Arabidopsis thaliana: one gene and its partners. The protein of the gene in region 2 interacts with the protein of the main gene of each other region in a pairwise test. Each region holds a gene or a part of one and is shown on either strand. Other genes may lie near its edges. The genes, in order: KNAT6, BLH7 and KNAT7.

Evidence for each region.
Region 1: the proteins of BLH7 (region 2) and KNAT6 interact in binary tests that used the Arabidopsis thaliana proteins (3 or more experiments, as listed by UniProt).
Region 3: the proteins of BLH7 (region 2) and KNAT7 interact in a two-hybrid assay, tested with the Arabidopsis thaliana proteins (2 studies listed by BioGRID).

The regions. Positions count from the first base shown.
Region 1 is NC_003070.9:8,296,791-8,306,874, reverse strand, and holds KNAT6 (homeobox protein knotted-1-like 6), read left to right. Parts: upstream 1-4,274; 5' UTR 4,275-4,382; coding exon 4,383-4,703; intron 4,704-4,841; coding exon 4,842-4,970; intron 4,971-5,071; coding exon 5,072-5,210; intron 5,211-8,886; coding exon 8,887-9,128; intron 9,129-9,217; coding exon 9,218-9,376; 3' UTR 9,377-9,584; downstream 9,585-10,084. Other genes in the region: MENG (S-adenosyl-L-methionine-dependent methyltransferases superfamily protein), read left to right, coding at 9,982-10,084. UniProt on the Arabidopsis thaliana protein: Plays a role in meristem function. Contributes to the shoot apical meristem (SAM) maintenance and organ separation by controlling boundary establishment in embryo in a CUC1, CUC2 and STM-dependent manner.
Region 2 is NC_003071.7:7,100,769-7,107,932, forward strand, and holds BLH7 (BEL1-like homeodomain 7), read right to left. Parts: upstream 3,161-7,164; 5' UTR 2,647-3,160; intron 2,473-2,646; 5' UTR 2,433-2,472; coding exon 1,881-2,432; intron 1,796-1,880; coding exon 1,416-1,795; intron 1,335-1,415; coding exon 1,274-1,334; intron 1,178-1,273; coding exon 722-1,177; 3' UTR 501-721; downstream 1-500. Other genes in the region: DRD1 (SNF2 domain-containing protein / helicase domain-containing protein), read left to right, coding at 1-324, 411-414; AT2G16405 (Transducin/WD40 repeat-like superfamily protein), read right to left, coding at 5,147-5,260, 5,366-5,442, 5,553-5,674, 5,807-5,982, 6,162-6,272, 6,382-6,429, 6,636-6,775, 7,015-7,152.
Region 3 is NC_003070.9:23,334,903-23,342,876, forward strand, and holds KNAT7 (homeobox knotted-like protein), read left to right. Parts: upstream 1-2,264; 5' UTR 2,265-2,565; coding exon 2,566-2,847; intron 2,848-3,745; coding exon 3,746-3,866; intron 3,867-4,420; coding exon 4,421-4,620; intron 4,621-4,714; coding exon 4,715-4,846; intron 4,847-5,305; coding exon 5,306-5,446; 3' UTR 5,447-5,790; downstream 5,791-7,974. Other genes in the region: NRS/ER (nucleotide-rhamnose synthase/epimerase-reductase), read left to right, coding at 7,608-7,974. UniProt on the Arabidopsis thaliana protein: May be involved in secondary cell wall biosynthesis.

The DNA of each region.
Region 1 (10,084 bases), on a different chromosome or scaffold from region 2:
AATTTCTGACTAAAAAATATGGGACGCATATATTCTCCGACCGCAGTGGGCATAACACTATAACAGTGCTGATGCAGTTTTTATTATATAATTTAAAACAACACCTATGTGCATTTGTTAGTTTGTTACATATTCTAAACTTTCCTTATTTATTTTTATATTAAAAAGAGATTTCCTTTTGTATCTCAATTGTTTATATGCTCTATATTTAGACCGGATCTCGACTTAATTAATATTGAACATTTTACATCACTGAAATCTTGAAGAAGAAGTAAAACTATTAGTAATATACTAATATCCTATCTTGACCCAAAAAGCATAAGGTTACTATAACTCAATACGCATAACATTATGGTTCGTGCTACTTAAGCTGCATTTCACTAGATTTATTCCCCCATATATTCCATGAAAAGATATGTCATTAGTCACTCATGAATTACATACTATTTATTTATCTTTTTCGAGCTAATAAAACCACAAAGAAAATGTATTCATATTGTTTGTCAGATTGTCCACGTACCGCATTTGGATTGGTTTTTTCTTGTCACGTTTGGATTGGCTAAAGTTGATACTTTACACATTGGTTGAATATTTATTTAAATATAGTTAGAAACAAATTTTGGCTTACGTCCATCAGGAGGTGATGGTGTATATAAGGCTTGATTATGAACAACAAAGACCGAGACATTTGGTGCTCTAATCAGATTTCTAATCCAGAAGATTTTTGGTCCACAGACCACAGATATATCTATTCTGGGTTACTTTGTCCCTTCCTATAATAGCAGGTATGTTCACATTTAACAACTTTGTTGAGTGGGAGGTTTTTTTCTCCTAACATAAATGAGATCAATTATTACTCTGTTATGCTCAATCATGTCCAAGTGGTATTATATAATTCTTTCAAATAAACCCGCAATTTCTCTTTATGATATTAACACTGATTCCGAACTTTTATACCAAAAGATTTTCAAATGATTCTTATAGTTTTATCAACAAAAAAAAAAAAAAACAGATTCTTATTAGTTATGAATGGGCATATACAACCATTGCTCGAATCATATCAATTATATATCTTACAAACATTGCTGGAATAATATCGATTATTTGTTATGCATCATATTCCAAAACTAAGATATCAAGGGTTTTTGCAAAACAATACCCACATAAATATAAAAATTCTAAAATTAACAGGTTAAATACCGATATACCTAACCTAGATCACTCCTTTATTTGATGTAAAACACTTGACTAGTCGGCTACTCGGCTATAAACCTATAACCAGATATAACTATCAATTCAAATATTAAAAGTGTAACAACTAACAAGTGGTTCAAGCTGATGATGGTATGGGTATAAACTAGTAATCCTAACATTTTATAAAAGTTGGGTGAGGATCAACGGTCGGGATCCAAGGGAATGGGATGGAGGGACCAAAGCTGTGTTTGTTTTTTATATGGATTCATACGAAACCGTAACTTTGTGTCAGATAATTTTCGAACAAACATGGCCCGAAAATGGATGGGTCAATCAACCTGTCCATCAACGAAAAGACCCTTTTAACACTTTTTTTTAATAGAGAAAATAGAGGAACATATTTGATAAAATATTGGTTTATAAATCTTGTTATTGTTTTTCCGTTGATGATTTACATTATGGAAACAAGGTTTCGAAGCACTAAACTCATTAAATATGGTTGCAAATCTATAAATATTGGCTAAAAAATCATGGCTGGTCACTATGAACGTTGGAGATTAGTTTGGAAAAATTCCATAGTTATTAAAAAATGGTTGAGAGGCTTAGTAAATTTCCTCAATAATTTATTTGTTGGATCCTAGGTCACAATTAGAATGGACCACGAGCCGAATTATAAATTCAGTACTTTAGCTGCATGTATAATACGTAGACGAACTTTATAATTGGGTTACATATATTTATGTCGTCTTACATTATTTGGTGATAGATTATTGCAATTATATAGATAGGTAGGGAGATAGGTACAGAAAAATGAAAAGAATCTATCAAATCACAAAGCCTAGATATGTTGATGGAAAATGAATATAACATCGCACGTAGTTTCCTGAGCTCAATACTCAACATCAGCATCCAAGTGGCGCATCGCATGGATAACCAGAGAAAGAAAATATTGAACATTTTGATTGTGTCTCCAGAAAAAATTTGTATTGTTTTTTCTCACCAAGAATATGCATATGTGAACAAATAATATGTTAAATAAATAAATAACATATTTTCGTCTGATCTTTGCCAATAATAAGAAGGCAAACTCGTTTGTGATATATATATTGTTTTCGCTTTTGTGACTTCATATTTATCTAATTTCAAGTCTCCTTTCTTTAACTTAATTTCCCCTTGATTATTTATGATACGTTAGGTGATTTAGAGCAACCAATAGTTTGCAAGTACCTTTAAGATGAAAATGACTTTCTCTAGTCTTTGAGAAAAAAAATAAAAACAGAAACAAAGTTTATATTAAAGTAGTATGAAAGAACATGCCACTTTCTTGATTGAAAATTATATGATAGACGTAAAAAGCTGTCGACAAAACTAAAAGAATAGTTCCATTCGAAATATTATAGATGCTCTCGTTCTATTTTCTTTTTGGTTAAAGTGCTCGTTTTTTTCTTGATACTCTCTTTAAATTACGGCCAATTTCATAATTTCAAACTTAATACATATGTAAAATCATTAAATATACCAAATTATGCTTATGTCTATTTTTGTGAATAAATTACATAGTTCATTTTCATAAGCTAAAGTCATCATGAATATCAGCATCATCAATTTTGGCATAAATTTCATAAATCATAAATTAGCTAAGACCATTGATTTTGCAGCTCCTATACGCCTAGACCAGCGTTTATTTTATTCTTAGTTTTATCCACAAACTTGCTTTATACAGAACTATTCTAAAGTAAACACTAGCTGATACTATATACTAATTTAATCTTAATTAGACGATTTTCCATTAGGGCCTTCTTATCTACTATCTAGGAACGGACCTTCGCTTCTCGAAACCCATTTCATCCCGTACAATCGAAGTGTCCAACATCCGAGTTGGTAAAAAATTTCTTACTACGTAGTAGGTACTAAGAATCACTTATCATATCCATATATTCTTCACATTTGATTTATTTCATACCATCATTTGAATATATATGTGTTGATTATCATTTTGTTAGTAGTCGTGTTCGATAATTTTGTTCTGTATCTAGCAACAAATTTACAGTGACAAGTATTAAAATAATACCGCTCTTTAACTATATATATGTATGTATCAGCTCACTAGTTGTTTGTAACCAGTTCTTGTTTTTCCAGTTTGATATATTCGATTCAACATACCCAAAACATCTCTCATATACTGAACTAATATCTATTTCTAATTGACTCGATTCAATATCATTAGTACTATATTATCTTCTGATATGCGACTTCATTTGTTTTCTTTCTTCTGTTCGGTTTTCCACTTGTTGTTTAACATTTTCACCTTGTTTCACTATTTGCAATCAAATAAACGATTTATGTAGGTGTATCTATATATGTTCTTAGGATCATAATAAAAATATATTTTCTACAAAGTTTTTCGAAAATATATATACATTGGGGATTATTTTTTTAACTGTCTACAGCTCACACATGCATATTATCATATTTGAATGAAGATAACGATACAATGCCGATACTGATACAAATCATTATGTTAGATGCTCAATTTGTTTCTATAGGTCCTATAATATATACATCAAGTCATCAACTATACTTTTTGAAAAGAAAATTACACAGAGCTTTCAAATAAGTTGCGTGTAGTTTAGTGGTTATATGTACTAGTAGTTATGTTACCATCTAAGTGTATTGTCGATGAGAAAAAAAAGAGTTCAAATAAACTGACATAGTATGCTGGTAAATAATCACACTTTTTCCGTTTTTTCCATTTCGTTTTCAATAATATATAATTTTGTTTCTCGCCATGTTTCATTGATATTAAAAATCTCATGATCATGCAAATTCTATCATAACACAGCCTTGGACCTTTCTTAGATATATATGTTAGGAAGGCCTTATCTCGACCTATGAAGCCTGAAGCTCCATTGAGCCTTTTAGCATATGTCCTTTTTCGTAATTATCATTTTATTTTTCTTCTCCGTTAACTTTCATATCTTTTTTCTTCCAAAAGAAAATAAATTAAGATCCCTCGAGCCTCTCTCTCTCTCTACACACTCCCATAGAAATAAATATTTTCAAGAACCAAAAAGTTTGTTATAAGCGGTTTCATATTATTCTTCTTCATCGATTCTTGATTTTGCAAGAAGACAATTCAAGAAAGCGATTTAGAAGACGGAGGAGTTCTTACCGGAGATCTTATACTTATGGATGGAATGTACAATTTCCATTCGGCCGGTGATTATTCAGATAAGTCGGTTCTGATGATGTCACCGGAGAGTCTCATGTTTCCTTCCGATTACCAAGCTTTGCTATGTTCCTCCGCCGGTGAAAATCGTGTCTCTGATGTTTTCGGATCCGACGAGCTACTCTCAGTAGCCGTCTCCGCTTTGTCGTCGGAGGCGGCTTCGATCGCTCCGGAGATCCGAAGAAATGATGATAACGTTTCTCTAACTGTCATCAAAGCTAAAATCGCTTGTCATCCTTCGTATCCTCGCTTACTTCAAGCTTACATCGATTGCCAAAAGGTGATCGTTAACTCTTTCTTTTTTTATCACTTAGATAAAATCTAGGTTTTACTTTTTAAAGATAAAGATAAGATTGAGAAGCTTTGATATTTGATTGTTTTTTTTATAATTTTATGGTTTAACAATTTCATAATTTAGAAACAGGTCGGAGCACCACCGGAGATAGCGTGTTTACTAGAGGAGATTCAACGGGAGAGTGATGTTTATAAGCAAGAGGTTGTTCCTTCTTCTTGCTTTGGAGCTGATCCTGAGCTTGATGAATTTATGGTCTCTCTCTTTTTTTCCCTCGATTTTTTTTCGGATTTTTATTTTTGTTAAAATATTTTTTTTTGGAAATTTTTGTACTTAAGAAGATAATTTATTATCAGGAAACGTACTGCGATATATTAGTGAAATACAAATCGGATCTAGCAAGACCGTTTGACGAGGCAACGTGTTTCTTGAACAAGATTGAGATGCAGCTACGGAACCTATGTACTGGTGTCGAGTCTGCCAGGGGAGTTTCTGGTATGTCTTAAATTATCCCTCTCTGGTTCGGTCTTTTAGTGGTTCTATTTTGTGGTTAGTTCTGAATGATTTCTTTTGATCTTTTCCGTGGTTTTTCATTAATAATATCCTTTCCTCGATATTTCCATAGGGTTTTGATTCATATGACCAGTTTCTGAAAAATGATTGGTAGCTTGTTGATAGAATAACCCTAGGCTTTTGAAGTGATCAGAAAGCAAAATAGATAAAAAATGAAAAAAAAGAAGATAAACCCTAGCTACAAGTTTCATTTCCATAGCTATTTTTCCCTTGATGGGTTTTGTTTTGTGTGTGCTTTTCTTTTGGGCACGTTGAAACTCTGGAGACAAAGATCTGTTTAAGGTGTTGTGCAATTATTTTACTCGTTCATTTAATGTTTTAGCCATGGGATTAGGGTGTTGGAGTGTGGTGGGGATTTCCTCTTCTTCTTGTTGTTGATCTTTGTGCTAATCATACAAATTTTACTTTATATCTTTTTCTCTTCTTTCTCTGTCAGAAAGAAAATGGTGTAGAAAGCAATAAACTTTTGTGGTAGAGATTCTGATTTTGACGTTTCAGAGGCTTGTTGCGTACTGAATGTTTTTTCAACTTGTTGCTTTTTTCTAGTGAAAAACCAATTGACAGAAAAACCTAGTCATAACTTTTTAACAATATGTGTAGTTGATTTTTCATGAGCTTCTTTTGCTTCACTTCTCGTTTAACAATAAGTAAGTATAAGTACTAGTCATAACTCATAAGTCGCTTCACTCTTGTTTATGGGTAACAACCTTATTAGGTTACCAGTTTTTCTAAGACTTCAACTTCTTTTGGTCAGATGATTATTAATAACCAATAAGCCATAAGAGTTATTAGCTGTAATTCCTCTTTAAGCTCATTCACAGATTCTCTGGATCGGAATTAATAAGCGTGTTTAGATAATTTTACGATTAAATTTCTGTTATATCTTAATAACACACCATATAATTTTTCTATCTAATTAAATAGGTTAAAACAATAAAGTTAAAATTGTATTTTAAATTTAATATAGAAGTCTACAAAACGACATTCTTTGTGAAATAAAAATTTAATCCTGAATTCGACATTTATTATGAAGAACGTAACTTTGGTCTATTTCAAGTTTCAATGATCTGAGAACAAGAGTAGGGAGATTTTTGTTGATCATCGGAAATAGTATCATTGCCAAGTGGCCACTCTTATCTGCATGTTCTTGTTGGAGTCTTGTTGGACTTATATGTAAGTAATAAACCAAAACTGACTCAATTTTGAAGCGATTTAAAAGTCTAGGTTTTATGCTTATACATGAATGAAATGCTTCAAATAAGTGACTTTCTTTGTGGTTTACTGATATTATCTCTTTAGACCACATATTGTACTACAACTAGCAAAAACATTGTGGCCATAACAAATCAACCGATCAGGTTAGCTAGAAATACTGATCCTTAGGAGTTTTTTTTTTAATACAATAAAATAGAAGAAAAACTCCAGCTGAAAGAGTTAGCTGTAAAGAAATGAAACTCCATAGATTGGTAGACTTTTTTTCAGCTTTGCAGGAGTTTTCCATTATCGTGGTCGATCTCAAATGCAGGTTCCACTTGTACTTTGGTAATATTGTTTATTGGGGGAAAAAAGCTGCTGATATATAAAAACATATCAGCTTATCTTTATAAACTAATCGAGAGTTAGCATAGAGTATCAACTGGAAAAGTTGAAAATAGATCGATGCAGGTTTTCCATAATGGACGAATGTTTATGATTAATAATTTTAAAATTTGTTCAAAGTACAACTTGCCTTTTTGAATGATCTCATCTGTTTTTTTTTTCTTTGGTTGTGTGCTTTATTTAACCATCTTTTTCTTTCACCTGAATGAAATCATAAACTAATAAAGAAAAAAGAAGCTTACAATTGTTAGACAATATTCACATGGGATGCGATGTTATCTACTAGTTTCTCAGTTCAATCACATGCTTGGTTTCTTTCATGTTGATCTGATTTAGTAATACAAGTTGATCACATAGACTTTTGATTTCTCACTTCTTGGTTGTTGTGATACGGTAATGCAACTTAGCGAAAGCCCTTCTTTGGACTAGCTAAAAAAGCAACACATTCTTTTCTTCTAATGCGTGGTTATCTTGCTACTTAGAGTGGATGGTCTCTTATTGACTTTTATAGTCAACATTTGTCTTGTTGCATGCAATATCATCAATGTTACATGTTTGCATATTTGATCTAGAAGATAAGAATACTGCAACGAGAAGAATAGGAACATAGTGCATGATTAGCTTGAATTAGAGGTTCTTTTGGTTTTTGTTATAAAGTAAAAGGTGGAAAAGTCACATGGACTCCCGTGGATTCCGCTAATGACCCCACCAACTTTCTCTCCTAAGATTTTATTTTTGATTTGGTTATTAAAAAAAAAAGGAGACATAGGGTTCTCTACACACCACAATCAAATCATCTATAAGACTGCGACTATGCTTCTTCTCTATCTTTCTCAACTCTTTTGCCATGCCCTCTGGTTGCGTTGTTCCCTTGGTGGGTCGTATTATGTCTCTCTGAGGCACGCTACTAGCACGTGTCTACTTGCATGTTACCTTCTTCAGTGAACCCTATTTTCAAAGCAGTCAATGCATTGCTGAAAATGTAAATAATAATCCCAACCATACAAACTATCGTTTTTTGCCATTAAACTGTTACCCTAACTACTCATATGTGTGTAATGTGAACGTAATGGTCTCTATAATATATGATCAGTTCATGTTTTATGCATTTTAGTATATTTTTATTGGCCTATTTAACATCTCTATTTCCTTCATAATTACTGTGGCTGCTGTAGAAATCTTTTAACTTTTATAATATGTTTATAAAACTGACTGAATTGCGTGAATTATAAATTGACTGAAATTACCTTGGCTGTTGTAGAAATCTTTTAACTTTTTTTAATATATGTTTATAAACTGACTGAAATTGCGTGTATATATTATGTAGTCCAGTATTTTGTGTGACTGACTAAATATTTTGACTAAGCACGGTTGCTTGGTCCGACTATATATTCTGTCACATAGGCAAAACTATTGTAAAATCAGGTAATGTTCTTGAATCGTCTTTGGGTTGAGTTTTGGTGTCAGAGAAGCTGGGTAAGTGGGTCAGTAGAGTCGTTGGGGCATATATATAAATGTCCAAATACATTAAAGAAAGAGAGAGAGAAAAGGAAATTGAGTTTTGGGGTATCGTGGAGAACATAAATGAGAGGTGTAGCGTTATTTCCGGGGGTTCACACAACCTCTAAATGGTATTTACACGTGTCATATTGAGATTGGGTAATTAGTAGGCCTAAGGGGGGATGTCTCCTCATGGGGACAAGACTATTAGTCCTCTCCTGACAAATGACAATGGAGGTAACTATTCACTGCGGCGGTTTTTTGACTGCTGCACTCAATCGTGTGCGTCCTCGATATTCTCTACCCCTTACCACTCTTTCTTCTTTCCCTTTTTTGCCCTCTTTAGCCACTTAGCCGTTTTAGCCGAGAAAGCCCATTTAAACTTTTTCATGGTAGTGAATAGTGATAATTCTGTTACATTTACTTGCTATAACCTATAACCATTCTCTGTCTTTGATGTCTTTGTATAGTGATAATTCTTGTGAATTTGGTGTAACAGAGGATGGTGTAATATCATCTGACGAGGAACTGAGTGGAGGTGATCATGAGGTAGCAGAGGATGGGAGACAAAGATGTGAAGACCGGGACCTCAAAGATAGGTTGCTACGCAAATTTGGAAGCCGTATTAGTACTTTAAAGCTTGAGTTCTCAAAGAAGAAGAAGAAAGGAAAGTTACCAAGAGAAGCAAGACAAGCTCTTCTTGATTGGTGGAATCTCCATTATAAGTGGCCTTACCCTACTGTAAGCAAAAGCAACACTTGCATGTTTTCCGACATAACTAACCACTACACTTATATATAAATGGGTGGTATGAATGTGTGTGTACACAGGAAGGAGATAAGATAGCATTAGCTGATGCAACGGGGTTAGACCAAAAACAAATCAACAATTGGTTTATAAACCAAAGGAAACGTCATTGGAAGCCATCAGAGAATATGCCTTTCGCTATGATGGATGATTCTAGTGGATCATTCTTTACCGAGGAATGAATTTATTTATGGTACTTATTTAACGTTGATTAAAAGATGGATGTATAATTCTGCCTTGCTTTGCCGACAAAGGAAAAAAAGAAAGAAAGAGTGAAGCATGGACGACACATGAAATGGATCTTACACTCACTCACATGTAGTAGAAGGAACAAGTCAAAATGCTTTGTAACTATTATTATCGGTGAATAAAAATAACCTCTTTTGTCTTCTCCGGACCTCTCGTGATATAGCTTTTACCCTCTTATTGGCAAAACGTTGAACAAACAAAATACTTAGATAGGTTAGATTTGTTTATTAACTATGTGTTTTTCAAAAATAATTATAAAATATCTTGTTATTTGTGTAAATCACACTAAATTAAACACATTCTTTTATTGACAGTTTAATCATCATGTACATTTTGCTAATTGTAGCCAAAAGTTTAGCTATCTAGCAATTGGAACCTTGTGCCCATAATCCAACCATCTCTGTTTAAATTTTGGGGTGGGTTTCAAATTATCCTTATTGGGCCTAAAATCGGCCCAATATTAAACTGAAACCAGACTTTTATCCAATCCGAGTAATCGGAACAAAACAACATGATCGTGTGAACCAACGGCCAAAAAATGGCGGCTCTACTCGGTATCGTCTCTCCTGTGACTTTCACCGGAAAGCACCCGGTAAATTCCCGATCGCGACGGAGAACGGTAGTAAAATGCTCGAACGAAC
Region 2 (7,164 bases):
TATCTCGCTTGTTGGAGCATCTCGCATACTAATATTGGATGTTCCCCTAAACCCTTCTGTGACCCGCCAAGCTATTGGGCGAGCGTTTCGACCCGGACAAAAGAAGATGGTGCATGCATATAGATTGATTGCTGGGTCATCACCTGAGGAAGAGGATCACAACACTTGTTTCAAAAAGGAAGTCATCTCAAAGATGTGGTTCGAGTGGAACGAGTACTGCGGATATCAAAACTTTGAGGTAGAGACGATCGATGTGGATGAAGCTGGTGATACGTTCCTCGAAAGTCCTGCCTTAAGAGAAGACATAAGAGTTCTCTACAAAAGGTAAAATCAGTTTAGATCAGATCCACACATAACTCTTCAACTCACATTTCTCTGTTATTGAACTTCCTTAATGCTTCTTTTTTCAGGTAAACGCAGACAGAAACTTGTGCTTCCGCTTTTTGGACATGCTTAGGTTTTAGAAACCTGTCAATAAGATAACTTCGGGTAGATCCTTTTGAATTTTCTGAATGATTGTTAGCATTTTAAGTGTAATTTTAATGTCAAAACATTTGATCTCATGTACCTCTAACCATATAATTAGGTCTCCTCATGTTTAAATATGAAACAGATCGTGTCTAATCTCAGATTGTCTCCTCATGTTTTCTCATTAATCTACAATTTCGTTTTTTGGGTTTACTTTCACAAAAGAATCCATTTCTACACCTTTCTATTCTCCTCAAGCTACAAAATCATGCAACAATTGTGAAGAGCCAATCTGGTGCTGGTGGTTGCGAGAGTTTAAGTACTGTAGATCGGTTCCCGAGATGGTATTCTTGTAGTTATCTATCCCACCGGACATAGGAACATCGCCACGAGCATCGGAATTCTGAATCCCCAACGTTAAAGACATCCCACCATTACCATTTCTTGTCATGTCAGTCACCATCATGAACCGGTCACCACCATGGGCCACTGTGTTTTGTCTCATGCTACTGCTTGCCACACCAGGTACATGCCCATTGTTGGAACTAGACTCAGTTTGCAGCTCTTGAATCTCGGTGATTTCTGGTGTGTTTTCAGAAGACTGGTTGGGATCATTCTCCTGCAATGCATCTGTGAATTCCTCCTTGTACATCTCCTCCACCATCGGTTTCCAGAGACGCACACGCGCATTTATGAACCAGTTCGATACCTTTCAACAATCATCAAACGAAACAATGAAAAATGAACACACCAGAAAGAAAAGTATTAAATGAGAGAAACGGCACAAAAGCTAACAGTGCAATACCTGGCCTCGGCTCAACCCCGTTTGTCTAGCGAGCATGATCTTGTCTGAATCCTTTGGATAACTAAGCTCAAGGTTTTGAAACAAATGGTCAGAGTCTCTTGTGGTCAATCAAAAAATTCACAAGAGTAGTAGAGAGACTTACGGGTGGAGGAAATGCTCAAATAGCCAAGCACGGAGAACCAAAACAGAAGAATCTGGTAAACCGCGTTGAGGCCGCCAAGTGTGAGGTTGCATCACACCTAACCGCTGCAACGCTCTTTGTTGCCTTACCTGTTGATCAACATTCCTTAACCTGCTTATCCCCACTCCTCTCCCATCTGATCCATCCTGTTCCCCTCCTAAACTTTTCCTTATCACCAAGATTTGTCCGGATATCGCATCCCTTAAGCAACGGAAATGCCTCGAGATGGTCTGAAGCGCAAGGGCTGTGTATGGTTTGGCTGCTCCACATCCGGCTATTACATCGAAAGACGACACGACTATCTGCATCTGATGGTAATACTGCTTGTAATTTCTATCCACCTTCAAACAACAAAGAAACAAACAACATTTATGTTACCACGAGAATCATTAACAAGTGTAGAAGATATGTTGTAAGGCGGATTACCTCGTCTAATATCGATAAAAGTTTCGACAACTTGCTCTGCAATTCTTGCCTCTCTGCTTGAGGGATTTCAGCAGTATTCGTCTGAAGATTCTTCTCTTTCACTTCATTAATCTTATCTCCCTCTGGCTGAAACTGCTTTAGAGCTTTCTTAACATTAACAGTTTCATCAAGAAGCTCTTGAGCAGCTTTGAGATACTTTGAGTTGTGAATGGTTCGAGTAAATCCCGAAACAACCTGTGTTGCATACTCATTGTTATTATTGCCTCTCGATGTCTCAATCTGCGAGCTGAGGCCAAGACGCCTCATCACCGGGAAGCGATTCCTGTCATTGTCTTCTTGATCTCTCCAAGAACCAGAATCTTGAATCTCAACCATTTGTGAAACTCCACCAAGGCTTGACAACACTTGAATCTCTTTTGAAGGTGACACATTATTAGTTGAATCTCTAGGAAATGTCTCTGTGAAAGAATTTGTGTAGTTCATTGCGTTTCCAGGGACAAATTCTGGTCTGGAATAAATCTCACTTGAGCCAGTTTTGTAATAAGTGGCCATAGTCTTCTTCTTCTTATGATCAGATCAAACAAGGAGTCATCTGTTTCAGAATCAAACACAAACAACACTAAACCCTTTTTATACTTCACATTATGTAATAAAATCTTAATTAAGCAAATTTTAAGAAATTGAACCAATGAAAATTATGAGAATTATCTCTCTGCATGAATTTAAGAATTTAAAAAGAAGAAGAAAGGATAGATTAAAGAATTACCAGGAAAGCATCTGCTGGCTTTGTGGGTGTTAAAGGAGACACTAAATCTCAAATTGAAGAAGGAAAAAAGAAATGTTTTTTTTTTTTTGTTTTAACTCTTGATGATCCCAAGAACACAAACTTAACAACAAACTCTTTATCTCCTCAAATCAAAATCTTGATAATACAAAATGTTTTACCCACACAAAAGATTCAAGAAAACAAAAGATCCATCCTCCTTAAAGCAAGTTTCCTTTTTGAAGTAGAGATTTCATTAAAAGCTGGTTCTTGAACTTGCTTCTTGATTCTTCTTCTTGTTTCTTGGAGTCAAGTCTTTTGGTGAAGATAACAAAAACAGATCAAAATGTTTTCAAGAGTAAAAATGTGGTAAGGAGATTATGTTCTTAACAAACCAGTTGGTAGAGATCTAAACCCTTTTCTAAAACCTAATCCTAAACCCTAATGCCTCTCTCTTTCGTCTCTCTGGCCTTTCTGTTTGTTTGCTGCAATAAAATTGAATGAAGCTATAACCACCATACAATCATTTTCTGTGTTTTTTATATTCTTATCTAAAAATATTTGATATATTCCTGATTGGTGTCAATAGTAAAAGATATTTTCGTAATTCTTCTATAATAATGTGTTTATCAAGCATATTTGGAGAATAAGACAAATATATAATGAACGTTTTTCATATCTAATTTTGGTGCTATGCAATTTTTTAAATATTTCATGTCCGATTTGTAATCAAAGATAATATTAATTTTTGTGTAGACTAGTCCATCTTTATTAGAGTGGGGAATAATTTGGGTAACGACGTGTCAAAGTTTACACACGGATGTTTTTTTTCAACTTCTTTTCAATAAAATAATTTCACTTTTTTGGTAAGCTTTTTACAGTTTCTTCTTCTTTGTCTTTAAATTTCACTTTCAAGTTTCAACATTTGATTTTTTTTTGTTCTTTCGAATAATATCTGTGATGGTCCACATGCTATTTACTATATAGTTGCATTTGCATACAACTATTTTTGCAAGGAATAAACAAAAAAAAAACACTTCATATTCTTATCTCTTTCTCATAAATAATGAATAAGTGGCCTTTTTCCCCACTTAGCTTTGTCTTTTTGTGCCCACAGATTTTAGGTATTTCTACAAATTTTCTAACTTTTACTTTCTTTTCACTAAGTGTAGGTCCATATCTTGTCATGGAGGACTTTACGATTACGAATCAGAAACAAATTGAGAAAATCCCAACTCCAAGACATTTTATAATAAGTCTGATTTGTAGTATAAGGTGGTACGAAATGGTGGTAAGAGGTAAGTCAAATTAAAATGTGTGGTGAGATATCTTAGTGTGATAGAAAATGGTGGTACCACCTTTTCTTACCAACACACTGAAAGGTTATAGTTTTTGCATGGAGAGACCAAAATAGACTTTTTGTGAATTAAGTGATTTAGTTATTTTCTATGAAAAAAAAAATTACGAAATACACAAGAGTTAATTTTGTGGGAAAACATAGGTAAGCATTTTATTTAAATTTACACTTCAAAATATGAGAATAAAAACTTGAAAAGAAAATAAAAATAGTAAATTGGGGTGGATAAGTGAAGAACGTGAAATGATGGGTAGCGAAGAGAAAGAAGTCTGAATTGGGACAGAGATGGCAGAAGGAGAAAGAGAGAGAGAGACCTGGACAATGGACAGATAGAGTCAGTGGATAGGGAAGAGTGTCTTCATAATATACGACGACCAACCAACCCTTCTTCTTATTATTATTAATCCAATATGAACATGACGCCGAAGATATTTGCTTGGGAAATAAGAGAATTGTAAATGTTAAGTTTTTATTAGTGCCCTACTTACGTTGAAGTTGAGATTCTATTGCTTTTAGTAAAAGAATTAATACACAAAACACTCGGATTCTTTTTGCTGGTTGAAATACGTTTAATTATTAGCATGATTATCTAGTCCAACCACTTCCACACTAATATAAGCACCAAATGCTCATCAGTTACATAATTTGAATTCAATATAATCCTAGAGCCACATTTCTCTAAGAGAACCAAGTATCATATTCCATTTGGTCCCCTGAAGAATTAGATGAACCAGCTTGCCGGAACTTGTTGAACCTGGGTCTCTTGGGTGAGAGCTGAGTATCTTGACCAACTAGACTACAATGGAATGTTGTTTATGTAATCTTCATTAATTTTACTGATAATTAATCTGGTTCATGATAATGTGACAAAACAAAAAACATTGCGAGTACAATTAACTTGATCTCTTCAAATTGTCTACCAACTTATCTATGGAAAGAGTTATTAACTCATTAAGGACGTGTCTGTTCCAACCATTTAAGCTATTGAATCTGTGCATAGGAGTGTCACAGAACTATATCTTTATAAGAGATGGGAAACTAAATTGACACAGTTTTGAGATTAGCGATACAGAGATGATGCCAAACCCAAAGCCTTTGTGGCAAAAATGACGGATTTAGATTCATTTATAATATTATAGACAAACCTTATGAGCTTGTCTTTGCTCTTTTCCATACAATGACAACACCATAGAAATCAGACGAAGCCAACAAGTTCTCCCCATGGTTCCACGCAACACACATTACTGGAAACCTGTGACCCTGCAAGCATCCATTTCTCACAACTCGTGAATCCTGTTTCCTATAATTCAAAATCCATACACAAAAGTTTCAGATAAAAAAAAAGAAAAGAAGTTATTGTCTAACCTGTAGCTTGTTTACACATGTGTGCTTCGGTTTGGTTAGATCATAGAAGTAGACATTCGAGTCTTCGCTTCCAGCAACTGTAGTTTCAAACAAGAAGAAACGCGGAGAAAATGACTTGCACTTCTCAAGAGACCTATGAATCTACTATTACCAAAACTATAGGTAAATGAAGGATTGAAATTCAAACCTATGTATTCTCCTTTCTCTAGTGATAATAGCGGGCAAAACGATGCTTGGATTCTGTGTATTCGCGGGGCTAATTTGAGGGAGCAACGCAAAGTCAAATAACCTTTTATCTGAAGGGCAACACTGCATCACCAACACAAAGCAGAAAAATCAATTATAAGGATCTCTAAGGACCTTGACAAAAAAAAAAAAAAAAAAAAGGATCTCTTAAGGAAAAACAAGAAAGAAAAAAAAGAAGTAGTTCTGTCGCCAAACCTAAAGAAACTCAAGTTTCCGTCCTGAGTACATGTGAGCAGAACAGGGCCTGATGCCAGGAGGGAGAAGCTTCTGTACTTCACAGTGGTGACAGGAGATTTGTGATTTGTACGATGACGATGAGACCGGGATAATGACCCTGTATGCGAATCCATGCTTACTGAATATACAGTTCCCTGCAATTATTATTAACTACCTTGTAAAAACAATGTAGAAATGCCTTTTTCTAGCATACCGAACAAATGCAAAAATTGATCAGTCTTGACCACAACATAGGTAATCGGTATAGCCAACCATAACCATAACAGACCATCTCCCTAGTTTTTATCTTTTTACATCAGTATAGAAAAGTTACCTGCCCATCTCCACAGAAAATTATTTGGCCAGTGTGATCATGGTCCATAGATGTCACCTCATCCTCAAACAACAGTTTTTTAATAATTCTCCCAGTGCTGAAATTGAACACCTACTTTGTCAAGCAGAGAGATGTTAGGCATAAAATAAGTAAACAATTAGAAAACAAACGAAAAAAGCAATACACTAATGTACTTAGCTACAAGGAGTAGTGAAGTTACCGTGAGTTCCTTGTTTGCATTGCCAGCAGAGAGGAAATTGTTATTAACCTGTTGAAAATATGGAAATGAAATATCTTCAATGGAGAAGCAAGAGAAAACAACAAAAACCATCCGCACTCAGTATCTTATATGAGACGACTTTCACAATCAAAACAAAAAGTTGCAAGTTGTTACAAGGGAGAAATATATAGATGATGAAGAACATCTTTGACAAAAAAAAAAAAAAAAAAGATGATGAAGAACATCAAACTTACAGGGTGGAAACGGATACAATACTGTGGAGAGATTCCATATATAACTCTAATACAAACGCCTCTTGACAACTCCCATACTCGTATTGTCTTATCAAGTGATGATGACGCGATGTATTGATTGTTTGACGAGAAGTCAAAATCTGATAAGAAGTTTGTATTAATATTAGACATAGGATCTAAACCCAATGACATACATACACACTTATGCTCTATCCATTACAGATAATTCTTTTACATTTTCCACTCAAATCTTACCCCTAACAAAGCATAGAAAGTAGGTACCATGTATCATCATATTCTCAGATTATTCAAGAGCAATTCAGTGTAGCAGATACTGAGATACAGAAAAGACAAAAGTAACAGTACCAGTCAATCGAACCTGTGACATCTTTAGAGTGACCTGTCAACTGCTTGAGGACAGAAGGCTCTTCTAAGAGACTACAAACTGTTAAGCTTCCATCTGATGCTCCATATGCAAGTATATCAGAACTCATATGACCAAACTTGAGAACAGTAACTGCATAAAGTT
Region 3 (7,974 bases), on a different chromosome or scaffold from region 2:
TGTTAAAATGCATGTTGTTGGGGGTTTTGGGACATATATATATATTTCGTTGGTGACAAGTAAGGTACGTATGGTGATGATTTTTTCTTTCTTTCACGGTGATGAATTTACAAGGTAACACCGCTAGTGGCCTAGTAGTAAGTAGTAACTATTAAAGAAAATCAAATGAGCAAAGTTACATTCAAAGTCATTGATAAACAATAAAACATGGTCATTTTTTACACCAAAAAAAACAACATGATCGTTGCCTACACGTTAATTAACGAGGCATCAAGAATTATAATTTGATGAAATATGCCGTCTGGCGTCTTCATAAGAATACAATATGTTTGATGAAAATCTACCTCTAATCAAATGGTAGTTTTTTTTTTTTTTTGAGGAGTCACATAGCTAGGAAACGTTTTATGCTAGTAATATCACACACGGAAACAATTACGAACCCATGTGTACAAGTGTTTAGGCTTTGAGACCTTAATGAAGTGCCCAATGAGAATTATTTTTAGGTCCACCAAACTCACAATATTATATGGCCCGTACATTAAATCACTAAAACTTAGTATCGTGTCACTAATAGTATCTCATTGTTCTCTGATTAATGGCCGCATTATTATAAGTTTTTTTTTGTGTCAAAAGCATTATTATAAGTTGAGAAGTCGTTTTCATAGGACCACAAATTGTTTCAGATGTGAGATGTCTTAAATCTTAGGCTTAAGAGAACGACAATTCTGTCCCTCTTTTCTTTGTTCGACCAACTCTGTCTTTGTCCCTCTTTATTTTGTTTCTTTCATTTTTCTATACGAACGAATATTTTTGATGTCATTGCGTAAAACAAAAGGGAATTTGTACATAACTACATAAAAAGGGAGAAATGGAAAGTAGTTTTTCCATATTGGTGAAGGCGTGCATTATTCTCTTTTTCATTTAATAATATGCAAAATCCTCTTTTAATTTGTATTTTTTATTTTTGTTTATAGAATATATTATGTGCTATTATTTTAGTTTTTTTTGTGTCATGTATTATTGGCATTATTAAAAATATTTGATCTAATCCTATTACGATATAAACTACATGCAACATATGCAATTACAACGACCAAGGATTCCATTGTTATGATGAAATATTATTTTAGTTTTTGTAATTAATTGCAGTTTTTTTTTTGCAAAAACTTAAGACTACTTGGATGGCTATTGGCTCCAATATGCCAAGCCGGAGGAAAACCAGAAGATTTAAGAATATATTTTTTTAAACGATGAAGTGGAAAAATAATTTTTTTAACGTCCAACATGTATGTTCAGAAGATTTGTAATTCTGAACGGAACTATTACATGACGTTACAAAAAACCATGCCACAAGAGTATCCGGACTTAACAACGTTTCACAACACATCAATTTTTTTTTTTTCAGTTTTATGGATATTTCTGAAATTCTAGCTAAAAACTATTAGTATATATTAAAGTTCATATATCAAACTATTGTTTGTGTGCTATATTAACTTCATATCAAACTAGGAAAAATATGAAAGCATTTTTCTATCTATCAAATAATACTGCAATTAAATTATCAGAGTGTTACTGTTTTAAGGTTATATGACTAAGAAATGGTGCATCAAAGCTGTATCACATTTTGTCCAAAAAAATTTAACTGTATCACGTAATTGAGTATTTAATATTTTAAAAGAATAACTAATTATATTTGTTCTTTACCAAAAGAAGAAAACAAATATACTATATTTCTATACTATTAAATAGTATTATCAATTAGGTGTTAATACTATTTGTTAAGTGGGCGTTAGAGGATTAGGTGTGTCTACCGGTCCTGTCGTTAAAGGTGGGAAGATATTTTATTTTCCTCATTCTTTTTCAAAATTTCAACTAATTTTTAAGTTCAAGTTGTTGATCACTTATTAGGTCTTAAATCATTGTCACGAGAAGGAAAATAAAAGTGTTTTTAATTTTTATTTTAAGTTTACATTTTATATACATACATATACACGTATTTATGATTTTTGTAAAGCACGTTGTTAACGTGCACTTTTTTCATAACTTTACGTCAAGGTATATATCAGCATATTGTGGAATCAAACATATATATAGTAGCAGTTTTCTAGACTAAAGTAATTCAGATTAATTGTAAAGATAACAATCACCGTATAAAACAATCAACGTCCGTGTGTTTGTATTCACATATCTGATGAAAATTAGTAATTCTAGTTTTCAGTCTTTCGATTAACAATACAAAAATAATACTTTCAATATAATTTGATCTATGTAAAAATAATATATGGTATGGCCGGACCAGACCCGTGTATAACAAACATTGTTTTAAATGTATTTTGTATACAAATAAGACAAAATAATCTATAAACAAATAATGTATATTTTTAGAAAAGAATGGAGTGAAAAACAATTAAAGGGGAAAGAAATCAGGACAGCTTTATATAGGTTGATTTCATCTGACAATTCTCTCTCTCTCTCTTTTTCTAATCATACGAACACAATCTGCTTCAAGAATTAGGGTTTTGATCAGACACAAAAAGTATCTCTCTCCGGTCTTGTGTCAAGGTTATGCAAGAAGCGGCACTAGGTATGATGGGAGCCACCGTAGGCGGAGACGGAGACACCGCGGTCGTGGCGGAGCAGAATAGACAGTTGAAAGGTGAGATAGCGACACATCCGATGTATGAGCAATTATTAGCCGCACACGTGGCGTGTTTAAGAGTAGCTACTCCAATAGATCAACTTCCGATCATTGAAGCTCAGCTTTCTCAATCTCATCATCTTCTCCGTTCTTACGCTTCCACGGCCGTTGGATACCATCATGATCGTCACGAGCTCGATAATTTCTTGGTACGTTTGAATATAAATTTATTAGTTATATTTTAAAAAATAATCTTGTTTGGTTAAATTACTTACAAGTTCTGTTTCTATCTTTTTTCATTTGAAAGTTTTTTTTTGATGGTTTCTAGTGGACTAACTTTGAATGAAGTTATGATTACTAACCAATCTCTGTTGGGAAATTATGTTTCAAACAAATTATGTTTTTTTCAATGATTTTCGTGTTTTACTTTTTACAAGATCGTTGGGAGTTTTATCGATCGAAGATGTAAACCTTTTGTCAATATATCAACAATTTCTATAAATTTTATAATTACTAATTCCTCTTGTGGGAAGTTATACTTCAAACAAATTATGTTTTTTTCCAATGATTTAAGTTATTGGTATTTTTTTACCTGATTTTTGTGAAGAAGTGGTTTTGTTCAACTTTCATGGAAATTTATGTATCTTCACACGAATGTTCAAATGTATAATACACACACATAGATGTAGATATGGTTTTTTGTATAGTTAGGTGCTAAATTTCACATAGAGTGAGTCAATGTTAAATGTCATTTTGTAATTAAATTGAAATTCTATTTAAACTTTGAATATTATCATGTTAGTTACGATTGATTTTCTACTCCGACCTAAAATTTGCAATTGCATTAAAGTTGGAATTGATATTGCAACTATAATTTTGGAATTAGCTTGTGAAATGTTCCAAAAAAATTCGGTTTTATTTATATTTATTTAAGTTAGGTAGAAAATAGGACTATATAATGATCTAACCGCTCAAAACACACCACACCAGAAGCACATATTTATATGTGTGTATGCATATATGTGGAAAATGTTTACACATTGAATAATTATATGAAATGTGAGAGGATATATAAAACATTTAACAATTATAATTAATTGGAAACAGGCACAATATGTAATGGTGTTGTGTAGCTTCAAAGAACAGCTGCAACAGCACGTGAGGGTTCATGCCGTCGAAGCTGTTATGGCTTGCCGTGAAATTGAGAACAACCTTCATTCTCTTACAGGTTCTTTTCTTTTCCACTTTTTTAATGGTATTTTTTATAACCCAATTAAAAAACATAACTTCATGATAATTACATGTTATTATATATACCACATAGCTATAGAATCAGAAAGTACTTAAGATATATATAATTAAAATTCCTGTTAAAAATTAGCGATAGTTAAAACAAATAATAGAGTTAGGTATATCTAAAGGTTCTTGCTGATCATACCAGATATGAACAACTAGTAAACATATTAAATGTAAGGTGTTGGAAGATGATCAGGAAGAGTATATTATATGCCCACACAATAAGAAATAGAGATTTTATTTGTGCTTATATAGTTATATTATATGATTAGTCTAAAGATGAAATTTCTTAATTATACGAAATTATTAAAAATATTTATTTTTGCACTGATGACCACGTAAAGCGTGGGATGTATTGATTAGGATTATTGTATGCGTAAGGGCATATCAGGCTTGAGCCTAAGTTTGGGCTTGGGCTTGACGTCTAAATCTTGTAGTTTGACTGTTGGAGTAACATTTCGTTTAAAACGTTCTGTATTCTTGTAGGAGCAACTTTAGGAGAAGGGTCGGGTGCGACTATGTCGGAGGATGAGGATGATCTTCCGATGGATTTCTCGTCAGATAATTCCGGCGTTGATTTTAGCGGCGGCCACGATATGACGGGATTTGGTCCGTTGCTACCGACTGAATCGGAAAGATCCCTTATGGAAAGAGTCAGACAAGAACTCAAACTAGAACTCAAACAGGTATAATTAACTAATATGTTATGATTCACAATAGTAATACAGTTATTTTACTATTTATTTTCTTGTTATGACGTTTGTTTATTTTTCGGATAAGGGTTTTAAATCGAGAATCGAAGATGTAAGAGAAGAGATAATGAGGAAGAGAAGGGCTGGGAAATTGCCAGGAGACACAACTACTGTCTTGAAAAATTGGTGGCAACAACATTGCAAATGGCCTTACCCTACGGTGAGTACTCTCTATATTTTACGAACAACAAATATAGTTTCCGTCTAATTGTTTGTTTGGGTTTACGTTTTCATGAAATAATATGATAATCATTATAACATGAAACAACAAATGAAGATAGATATGTAAATGCAAAGAAACAATCAAGACCCATTTTGGTTACACTCAAAGTCACAACATGCATTTTTTTTCTATTCTTCAAACATACTGAATTTGTTACTAATACTCAAAAACACTATACATCTCTCTCCCGTTCAATATTTGGCACAAGCCAAAAAGGTGGACTACAGTCTAAAGTTGCATGCTATAGTGGAAAAGAAATAGCCTTTGACGCTATCAGATCTGCACATGCATTGGCCTCTCTTCGTTGAAACTGAAACTGATTGTTTTTGTTTTCTTTCCTAAAATGTCATTAACAACAACAAATTTATAATGTAAAAAAATATGTGTCTTGAACAGGAAGATGACAAGGCAAAATTGGTGGAGGAGACAGGATTGCAGTTGAAGCAAATCAACAATTGGTTCATTAACCAACGCAAGAGGAATTGGCACAACAACTCTCACTCCCTCACTTCCTTGAAGTCCAAGCGCAAACACTAATCTCTTCTTACTATATTAGTTACTACCTCTACATATATTCATACTAATTACACTGCTAAGACATGCATGATACATACGTAATTCATGTTACTGATAATAACGAGGTGTGATCATTAATATCATGTACTTACTTAGCTTATTAGATCCACCGACTACTATATGATTTGTGCGTTGCGTGATTACTGGTTGTTACTAGATTGTAATTCATTTTGTTTGTATTGTGCATTCAAATTTATCTTTTTGGTAAGAACACTGATTTTGTAACGTGTTTTCCGTGGATGACTAGACCATCATTTGGAAATATAAAGTAATGATGCCGACAAAAAAGGCAGTGTTTTATAAAATATAAGCCATATCATAATATCTTTGGACCGATCAATGAAAGAAATCGTCCATAAAAATGGATTAGTTTAATTCCAGTTTAGATTATTGGTATTCTCAAAAACTAATTAACGTATAGTTTTCTAGTTCTTTATTTGATACCAAGATTTGTGTAACTTAATATTTTCAAACGAGTTTACAAACACAACTAGACCGAGAAATAGATATATGATGTATTCATTAAAAAAGAAAAAATAGCTCTTGAGATTGAGAACTTGGGATCTTACTATCTTAGAAAAGTCACCACATGCCGCCATCATTTGTCCACTACGATTCAGACAGAAGATCCGATCTGTTTATATATATATATATAAAAGTAAAGACATTACTTTATGCCTTATGGTAACCCCCGATTACTATAACATTAAACTACTAATTAATTTGACAAAAGAAGTTGGACTGACTGCTTAATAAATGAATGTTAGTGACATACGTATATATTTTCGATAACGTGTATGGTATTTAAGGGCAGGGGGATTTGTACATTTGGAGTTTTATATGCTTAATATATCAAATGTTGTATAGATCCAGATCTTTGGTTTAAACCTCATTAGTTTCGATGTCAAATCAATTACAATATATATAGAAACTTTGCAATTACAATATTTAGTACCAAAAATCGGTGGAATTATGTACATATGAATATGATATAAATCACTACATTAATTTGTAATTGAGATGTATCTGTATATTTATTGAAATGATACTATGTTTAAAGGGTTACCGATTCGTTAACGGGTTCTTTTGCTAAGTTAGCTCTTTGATCTCATAAGATTCGGATGCTTAATATAATATACGCATTTATAGTCGATAATTGTGAATTGTAAATTCAAAACAGTAACGTGTTTTAAGTGTTTTTTTCTTTTTCTTCGAACTTTTTAATTTTCACTATTAAAAAATAGTATGAGTAGTAGTTGACCAGAAAAAGGGTGGTAAAAAGAAAAAAAAGAGATTCTTTAATTAAAATTGCAACGAATAATACATATTTTAAATTCAGACACCCAATGAAGTGGAATCTCCTTTGTGTTTAACTAATAATTTCTCACGCCACCGCTTTCACAGATCTCTGTCTAAAATTCAGACAACAATAAACTATTTTAAACACACAAAACCACTACGAAACACAATAATTCATGTTTAGGGTGATCTGTCACATATTATATTCATATATTGAAATAATTTTTTGTTATTCCTACTAACACATTTTTTTCAATGACATTTCCACGAAATAAAATTTATAAAGTCTTCTTATATTTACTGAATAAAAGTTCTACATTATGCTATTAAAAGTGTATAAAGTAACAACAAATTTATACATAATAACAAGTTTTCTTATAAAAATATTAATAGCATTTTTTTTTATCCATAGAACTATTTTTATCATATAATTTTAAAAACGGGATAACTTGTTTATTTTATGTTAAATTTAAGTTAACTAGTTGTATAAGTACTAATGAAAACATTTTCTTAAATTCAATAACAAAAATTTATCACTACTCCAATTATCTACACATGTTTTGCTTAATTTTTGGTAATGTCACCTAAATTTAACAATTTCCTAAAATATTCATGAAAAAAAACTCATGGGTCACAAATCTCAAATAAGAAACGATGGGTGGTCAAAAGAAAAAAACTAAAAAGATTATTGCTTCCCCGAGAAATTGGGATAAAAAGAAGCAACACCGATCACAACGTCTCCCTATACCATCTCCTTCAGATCCACACACTCTCTCTTATATCTCTCCGGCGAAAACTTTCCGATCACCGACAAAAAAAAAAAATGGTTGCAGACGCAAACGGTTCATCATCAAGCTCATTTAACTTCCTAATCTACGGTAAAACCGGATGGATCGGTGGTTTACTCGGTAAACTCTGCGAAGCTCAAGGAATCACTTACACTTACGGCTCCGGTCGTCTTCAAGATCGTCAATCGATCGTCGCCGACATCGAATCCGTGAAACCTAGCCACGTGTTCAACGCTGCTGGAGTCACCGGTCGTCCTAATGTTGATTGGTGCGAATCTCACAAAGTTGAGACGATTCGTACTAATGTCGCCGGAACCCTAACTCTCGCTGACATTTGCAGAGAGAAAGGACTTGTTCTGATCAATTACGCTACGGGTTGTATATTTGAGTATGATTCGGGTC